Linked DNA regions of Macaca fascicularis. The protein of the gene in region 1 interacts with the protein of each later gene in a pairwise test. Links are inferred from orthologs where the notes say so. Each region holds a gene or a part of one and is shown in the gene's direction. Other genes may lie near its edges.

Region 1 (4,239 bases):
TGGCAGAGCTGGTGGGCTCTGAGGGACGCTGCCTGGGCAGATGCCCCAGCGCCCTCCTCTGGCATGCCCCACCTCCACCCCTCCCCCTGCATCTCTCCCGACCGACCCCCGGCAGAGCTGGCAGGGCCTGAGGGACACTGCCCAGCCCAGCACCCCGCTGCCCCTCCCTACCTTGGTCAGCCCTGAGCTGGGCTGCTCAGAAATCTATGAACCTGTTAAATAATTATTGTTCTTAATCTCCAAACAATGAGCGGAAGGTTCCATTATTTCTCTTTGCAATAAAAATAAAAGTTCAAATACGCAGAGTTTAGGACTTTCCCTGCCATTCCTTGCAGACTTTGAATTTCCCTCCTCACCCCTTCCTGCCCCCTGAGGCTGCCGATCCAGGCCCCTGCGTTGGAGCCCCTGGTGGACACAGGAGGGTCAGCGGGAGGGTGGGGCGGGCAGGGGCTCCTGGGGAGGGGTGTCTTGAGTCTCAGGGGCTGGGGGACAGGCGGCCTTTGGGTGCAGGTGGGGGTCACGCCAGGGCTCACTCAGGCATGGGTGGGGAGAGGGGAGGTGAGCTGGAAGGGAGCAAGGGTCATGGGGCTGGGCAGGAGGCGGCAGAGGCTGGAGGCTGGAGGAGCTGCCTGGGAGGGAGCTGCGCCCCGGGCCCCAGCGCTGTGGGCGCCTCCAGGCCACACTCACGGTCCTTCCCTGCCCCCTGGCGTCCGTGTGGAGGAAGGCAATGCCCGTTTCTTCAGCTGCGGGTGCCCCTGGCCCTGCCCCCCCAGGGATCCCCAAAACCCTCGGGCCCTCCTCTTCTGGGAAGTCCTCCCGGCCGACCCACACAGCTGTCACCGTCCTGACTCCAATCCCTCTTCCCCGCTTGGCCCTTACCCGAGGGCGGGCCTGCCCACGAGGTGGCTCTCAGGATGCCCGCCCACAGCAGCTCCTGGCATTGGGCCCCGTGCTCAGGGGTGGAGTCTGGGGCTGGGTGAGGGGAGGCACCAACGGGTGGAGGAGAAGCTTCCAGAAGTGGGGAGAGAAGCCCCCACCTGTGCCCCCATAGCTCTGAGGGTTGGGAGGCAGCACCTGCAGCCCTCACCGTCCTGCCCTCAGGCTGCAAGGCTCATTCCCAAGGGGGCTCTTGGGTTCCCTGAGTGCCTGAGTGTCCACAGGTTGGACCCCCGAGAAGCCCCAGCTGGGGAGTACTCCTCCCTCCCTCCCTGTGGCTGCTTGCCCAGCAGGTTCCCGTGGTGGGGGCACTAAGTGCCCAGATGGGCCCCAGGGGGCGTGAGGACTCGTGGGGCCGGCTGGGCCCTCAGGAGGAGCTGGGGTGCTCTCGAGAGCCTGTGGGTGCTGGGGTGGCTGCTTCCCTGCCTGTCACGAGGAAGTGGGACCGCCCGCCTGCCACGCCCAGCCCTAGGTGCTCCAGCTGGGCCACAGCCTGGTCCTGCCACTGCGCCAGCCATGGTGTCCCGGGACCAGGCTCACCTGGGCCCCAAGTATGTGGGCCTCTGGGACTTCAAGGCCCGGACGGACGAGGAGCTGAGCTTCCGAGCGGGGGACGTCTTCCACGTGGCCAGGAAGGAGGAGCAGTGGTGGTGGGCCACGCTGCTGGACGAGGCGGGTGGGGCCGTGGCCCAGGGCTATGTGCCCCACAGCTACCTGGCCGAGAGGGAGACCGTGGAGTCGGAACCGTGCGTGTCCTGAACTCCTGGGAGCTTTGGCGCAGGCCACCCTCTAGGCACAAGGGAGGGACAGGGCTCTGGGCTGGCCCCAGGGAGGCCCAGGAAGGTGGGACCCCGGCTCCATCTTCCTGTACCCCGAAGTCCAGGCTGGGCATCCCGCTTGGTCCTCGCTCCAGGTCCCATGTGCTGGCACCTGGGAGTGCCCACAGGACTGTCGCTACAGGAGTTGGAGCAGGGGGCTCAGAGGGCATGGCCCCTCCCTTGGGCTCATCCTTGTCACAGCTCGGTGGTGGACACTGCTCTGCCAGGACCCAGGGAGGACAGAGGTCCAGGGTGGACTTCTAGGGGTCCAGTGGCCAGTGACAAGGTCTGTTGGGGCGTTCCAGGGCCTTTGGGGGAACGAAGCTTGCTCAGTTTCCAAACTGCCAGAACCAGACACACGAGCTAGGTAGGGGAGAGGGCGGGCTGCCAGGCAAGCTTCCTGCCTGTTGTGCCCTGCGAGGAACCAGACCAGCTGGTGTGGTCCGGCCTCGGCTTCCATGGCTGCTCGGAGCTCAGGCTGGGGAGGGTCTGGGGGAGGGGTTTCTACGACTCACACTCCTGAGATCCCGCTTTTCTCATCATTGATTGGGTACCTACTGTGTGCGTGCATGAATCACGGGCTGTGTAGGGTTAATTCCTGGGGGACCCAAGCAACAAGCAGGGGAGGCTGTAAAGAGGCCATTGGGCAGGGGCCCATGGTGGAGACCCCTGTGTCACATTCAGACCCACCACCTCGTTAGGGAGCAGGGGTGCAGGGATAGGGTCTGGCCAGAGGCTGGTCAGCTCCCAGATGCAAAGACCCTGAGGCCCGGAGAACTCGCCCAGGTGAGGAGTGGGAAGGAGGCCAGGTGATTGGAGGGGTGAGTGGGGCAGTGCTCCCAGCTGTGCAGAAGCGGAGGGGGTAGACCCCAGGGGTTCCATGCTGGGCGGTGGTCTTCATGTGGGGTCCGTGTTCCAGTGGCCCGAGGGAGTCAGAGACACAAAGGGCTGGGCACAGGTCACCTGGAGCTTCTGTGAGCTCCACCTGGAAGTCCACAGTCCAGGGCTGGCCCACACCCTGCAGCCGGGAGTTAGTGTGTGTGAGTGACTGTGTGTGTGTGTGACTGTGGGCAAGTGAGCCCACATGCGTGTGTGTGTGTTCGGTGTGCAGGTGAACTGTGTGCCTGTGTGGGGGTAGCCCGCATGCATGTGTGTGTGTGTGTTCAGGTGTGCGGGTGAACCATGCGCATGTGTGGGGGTATGCAACTGTGTGAGTGCATGTGTGTACGTGTCACACGTGGGTGTGTGTGCAGGCAGCTCTGGGCAGCCCTACTGCTCAGGTGCCCTCCCCAACTCCACCCTAGGCTCTGACCCTTAGACACGGGCCTCTCAGGGCAGGGTGTGGTCAAGCCTGCCCCTCCCCCCGCTGGGTCCTCAGGGGCCTGTCCTGGCCATTTGGGACATTCAGGGCGTCTGGGTCAGCGACAGCTCCCAATAGCAGCTGTGGTCAGGGCTGGGAGCTTGAGGTGGCAGGCAAGGGTGGCTGTGGTTCCAGGTGGGCAGACTGGGGCCCGCGGGGGGTCCACGTGGGGTGGGCCCAGGTCTGCGCGGGCTCAGACTACTCCTCCCCTGTAGGTGGTTCTTCGGCTGCATCTCCCGCTCAGAAGCTGTGCGTCGGCTGCAGGCGGAGGGTAACGCCGCCGGCACCTTCCTGATCAGGGTCAGCGAGAAGCCAGGCGCCAACTACGTCCTGTCGGGTGCGGCCAGCCTCCGAGCCTGCGGGGGCTCCTTGCTCTAAGCCCTCCCATCCACGTGGTGAACTGGCTCCCTCGGGCTGTGACTGGGGACATGGGCTCCTCTCCAGGGAGCCCCCATCCCCTCCGCCCACCTGGCCCGATCCTCCCTGGGGCCTGGGGCAGTCGTGGGGCAGGGCCCCTCCCTGGGAGGGCAGGGGCTTCTCCGGCCAGCCCTGCCTGAGGCACTCATGGGAGGTCCTGGCACCTGTGGGAACCTGGTCCAGCATGAGACCCTGAGTCCGGGGTGCACGAGGCGCGAAGAAACCCCATTCCTGCCCCTGAGGATCTCAGTGTGGCTGGGATTTCAGGCAGCTGCCATCCAGGCAGAGGCCATGGGCTGCCTGGCACGGAGGCAGGAGGGGCCAGGGAGCTTGGCCAGAGCAGGCAGGGCAGGAGGGAGCTGTTTCAAGGGAGGGGACGCAGGGGTGGGTACTGAGGAAGCACCAACAGCAACTATGGGGACCCAGAAGCTCTGAGCAGGTGTGGCCAGCAGGGCTGGGGACGCGCAGGGAGGCGTTGGAGCGGGGTGGTGACACCGCTCACGCTTTCCCTCCCAGTGCGGGACGCGCAGGCTGTGCGGCACTACAAGATCTGGTGGCGAGCCGGGGGCCAGCTGCACCTGAACGAGGCGGTGTCCTTCCCCAGCCTGTCCGAGCTTGTGAACTACCACAGGGCCCAGAGCCTGTCCCACGGCCTGCGGCTGGCCGCGCCCTGCCGGAAGGTAGCCGCTCCGCCCTGACTTGGTCGTA
Region 2 (4,108 bases), on another chromosome or scaffold:
GCTTCATGACTGTTGTCTCAGCATTTTGGAAGCTGAGGCAGGAGGATTACTTAAGCCTGAGAGTTTGAGGCTGCAGTGAGCTATGATCATGCCACTGCACTCCAGCCTGGGCAACTGAGCAAGACCTCGTCTCTAAACAACGAAAGAAAGAAAAGAAAGAACATCTGTAGCTGCCTTGGAGAACAGGGATTGTGTAGGGCTGGGATGGAGGGAACAAGAAGCACAAATAGGAAACTGAGGCAGCATCCAGGCTGAAGATAATTGGACCACTGTGGGGTGTAGGAAAACGGACAATTTGGAACTGTTTCAGAGACACTGAATCCACAGGATGAAATGCTGGTGATGAAGGGAAGAGAAGATCCTTAGGGTCTCCCAAGCTTCTGGTCTGTGCTCCTGGGCTGCCCTGACTGAGCCTGGGAGGCTGGTGGAGAGAGGCAAGAGCAATCAGCCGGGTGCCCTGTCCCTAAGCAGAGGGTAGAACGGGGGACTGGCGGGTGTTGTGTAAGTTTATTTTTTCTTTTTCTTCGTTTTGTTTGTTTTTTTAAGACGAAGTCTCACTCTTGTCACCCAGGCTGAAGTGCAGTGGTGCGATCTCGGCTCACTGCAACCTCTACCTCTCGGGTTCAAGTGATTCTCCTGCCTCAGCCTCCGGAGTAGCTGGGGTTACAGGCAGCTGCCACCACGCCCGGCTAATTTTTGTATTTTTAGTAGAGACAGGGTTTCACCATGTTGGCCAGGCTGGTCTCGGACTCCTAACCTCAAGCAATCGAGTTCGATCTCCAAAACAGAACTGTCATATGTCCTATGAGGGGATGACCTCCTGTGCAAGGGGCCGGATCCCGGGGCTGCCCTAGGCCGGCTGCAGACTTGCTGTGTGGCCTCCAAACAAGACCTTGCCCTCTCTGAGCCTCAGATTTTCCACTTGTAAAATAAAGACCAATAACGTTGCGGTTACAGGCTTGTGGGGGGTCATCAAATGAGCCCTGCCTGGGCGATGAATAAACGTTGGTCGCTCCTTACCCTTTACCACTGACTCTCAGGGGGAAAGAGTGGCGCCTGTCTCTTTAAATTATGCAAATAGCTGCGGGTGGCGTAAAGGGGGGGACTACTAAAAAGAGCCTGGTCTTAGGCTGGACCAATCAGCGCGCTGGGCTGGCGGAGACGGCCGTCTAAATGGCCCAATGGGGGACTGCGCGGGATCAGAGCCCGCCCTGCCTCCTGGCGCCGTCGCGGGGGTGGGGACTTTGTAGGCCACGCCCAGGGGGCGGAGCCAGTCGGCAGCCGCGCCGCAGCCGCGGAGGGAGGGGCGGGGCGGGCTCGGGTGTCAGCGACCGAGCCGCAGGTGGCGGCGAGCGCGGGGCTCGGCCGGAGCTCAGGAGGTGAGTGTTGCCCCCCGGAACCCCCTGGGACACCCTGGCCCGCGCAGCCTCCCACGCGCACCGTGCCCTGCAGCCCCGGCTGCTGCGGAGGGCAAAGGCGCGGCGGGACGCGAGGGATGGAGAGCAGGGGTTGGGGGCTAAGCGGTGGGCGCCCCGGCTTCTTCCCCAAGTGGTAATCGGGGGTCCGCAGGCGGAAACGGGGACCGCTCCCCAAATCCACCGTCTCCTGGCCTAGAACCGAGCGTGCACGGGGGCGGTGACGACGCGAGACCCCTCCCCAAATCCTTTTATTCTAAGCCTAGGTCTGGGTTCTGGGGCTGCAAAGATGGGGGTGCCGCTCCCCTTCCAGCCTGGAACCCTGGGCGGTGGCCGAGATGGGGACCACCCGCAAATTCCCTCTTCCCAGCTCCGGCCTGCAGACCACCGGGGACCGAGGATGAGGTACCCGCTTCCCTTTTCCTCCACTGTGAACCCCTCTCCAGGCCTGATGGCTGGAGGAGCTGGAGGGTCACCTGGCCCCTCCTCTAATCTGCCCCATCCCAGTCCCCCACCTCAAGGATGGGGTGGGAGGCGTTTCACTGGCATCTTCTGTGCGGACCCCAAGGTTGGAATTTTGGGGAGGAGGTCAGTGTGGGGTCCCCTGCCTGGCACGGTTTATCCAGGCCAGGCCTTGAAGGGCCTGGAGCCTGGACTTGGGGGGGTCCCTCTCTTACTGAGGGGCGGGGTGTACAGCTAGCATCTGTTCCTGGGGATTAAAATAAATCGAGGTAAATTAGGATCTTGCCAGAGGCTGGCTGTGAGTGGGGTGCGGAGGAGGTTTGGGTGGTGGGGGGCCCCTCCATCTGCCTTGGATCCCCCGAGTCACCTGCCCCAGCCGCAGTGGGGACCAGGAGGCAGAGTCGAATGGACCTGCTTCACTGGTGACCTTGGGCAGGTGACAGCGCCTTCCCAAACCTCGGTTTCCTCTTTTGAAAATTGAGGTTGGGAGCTTCGGACCCTGCATTTTACAGATTCTGAACTCACCCAGCCCACATTTTGTCTGATGGTGATTCACTCTTTTGCTTAACATGTGGGTGGTTTGGGGTCAAGAGAGTATTGGGTTTGGAGACCCTCCCACAGTGCCTTGCTATCCTCTGAGCCTCAGTTTACTGCACTGCAAAATAGGTTGATGATGACACTCTGATATTGGGGCTGGGGGCATGGGGGCAGGGAGTAAAACATAGGACCAAGCTGCAATCATTGGGACGGGGCATCACCACCCTGGTCTCACCAGTGGGGCCACCTAGGGCACACCCTGACCCACATACCATCACCCACACCAGGGGCGAACCTGTTCTTGGGCGAGGTCCTGGGCAGGAGGAGGTGGGAGTTGCCAGGCCAGCTCATGCCCTGTCCCTTGGAGCCCCCTCCCAGTGGTGGGCACAGGGCTGGGAGTCTGACACCCCCAGGTTTGAATTTGCCCCTACCTGTGTGTGTTTTCACTTGCTCCCTTGGTTTGTTCTTCTGTGAAATGGGCTGAATTCCTCTGGGAGGATGAGAGGAGTCTGTGGGAGGAGGAAGCTCTGTAAATACAGACATGATCATTATGATATTAATGACAGCATTAGTGCTCTTTAAATCGGGTCACAGCTGACCAGGAGGAGGGAGGGGAAGGGGGAGTCTACCAAGGGCATTGCCGAAGGAGACTCTAGCACCTGGGAAAGTTAGGCATACAGTAGGCATTCGATAGATGTTTGCCAAATGAAGTGAGGAAGAGGGAGGAGACCCATGGGGAGAACAGAAAATTCCTGAGAATCCCTGGCTCAGATCCCCACTTGGTGGCCTGAGTGTGTGACCTGGGGCACGTGCCTCAGTTTCCCCATCGTGGTGCTGGTCGAGATAAGACCCTGCCTTGAGGTGCGGTGGTGAGAATCAAGCCAGATTGTATAAGTGATCGCAGCCCAGGTGGCTAAGCCAAGAGGGGAGACATGACATAGTGGGTCATGGAAACAGCATGGTACCTGCCTGAACCAAGTGACCGGTCCGTGGGAAGGATGAGGAAACCGCTGCTACTGGCCCTACTGTACATTCACTGGGGTCCGAGAGAGAGAGGGAAATGGCAGATCCTGCTTCCCAGGATCCTGGAAGCCAGATCCTGCTTCCCAGGATCCTGGAAGCCAGATCCTGGAAGGTCAGGAGTGGCCCAAGGTCACCAGGCAAGACGTCAGTGGCTCTGGACACCCAGCCAGGCACCACTCAATTCCCAGAATGGGAGCTCGGGTCTTGCCTTTGTTGCTGATGTGGTTCCTGCTTTGTTTTAACTGTTCTGGGGCTGCTTACATGTCTCAGCCCCAGGTTTGCAAGACTTGGTGCCGGGAAGGCAGGATGGGGACCTCTGAGTCAGCTGGCAGTGTGCTGTGTGACCTTGGGCAAGTCTCTGGCTGTCTCTGGGCTTTGTGCTGGCGCTGTACAGGCTGGGAGACTTGGGTTCTAGCAGGACTGACTTCTCCATCAGACCCAACAAGCCCGATGTCTCAGGCTCACAGTGCTTTTAGGGGTCCGTAGGTTGATGTTTTCACTTCTTTTAAAATCCGAAGGGAAAAAAAATGAACTTTTGGGTTGAAGGAAACATTTTTGTGTGTAATATTAATATATTCATGTTTATGCCAATGTAATTGGCAAATATAGTTTTGTTTTGTTTTCAAGACAGAGTCTCTCTCTGTCGCCCAGGCTAGAGTGCAGTGGCTCGA

What was found. The genes of interacting proteins can lie anywhere in the genome.
Region 2: the proteins of PTK6 (region 1) and FCHO1 interact in binary tests that used the Homo sapiens proteins (3 or more experiments, as listed by UniProt). The two-hybrid records come from large-scale screens. The link is inferred for Macaca fascicularis from reciprocal best matches to the Homo sapiens genes PTK6 and FCHO1.

What each region holds. Positions count from the first base shown.
Region 1 is NC_088384.1:119,666,204-119,670,442, reverse strand, and holds the start of PTK6 (protein-tyrosine kinase 6), read left to right. Parts: upstream 1-1,439; 5' UTR 1,440-1,452; coding exon 1,453-1,682; intron 1,683-3,329; coding exon 3,330-3,451; intron 3,452-4,047; coding exon 4,048-4,211; coding exon of another isoform or gene 4,212-4,239. UniProt on the Homo sapiens protein: Non-receptor tyrosine-protein kinase implicated in the regulation of a variety of signaling pathways that control the differentiation and maintenance of normal epithelia, as well as tumor growth.
Region 2 is NC_088393.1:18,087,799-18,091,906, forward strand, and holds the start of FCHO1 (F-BAR domain only protein 1), read left to right. Parts: upstream 1-1,308; 5' UTR 1,309-1,379; intron 1,380-1,679; exon of another isoform or gene 1,680-1,820; intron 1,821-4,108. UniProt on the Homo sapiens protein: Functions in an early step of clathrin-mediated endocytosis. Has both a membrane binding/bending activity and the ability to recruit proteins essential to the formation of functional clathrin-coated pits.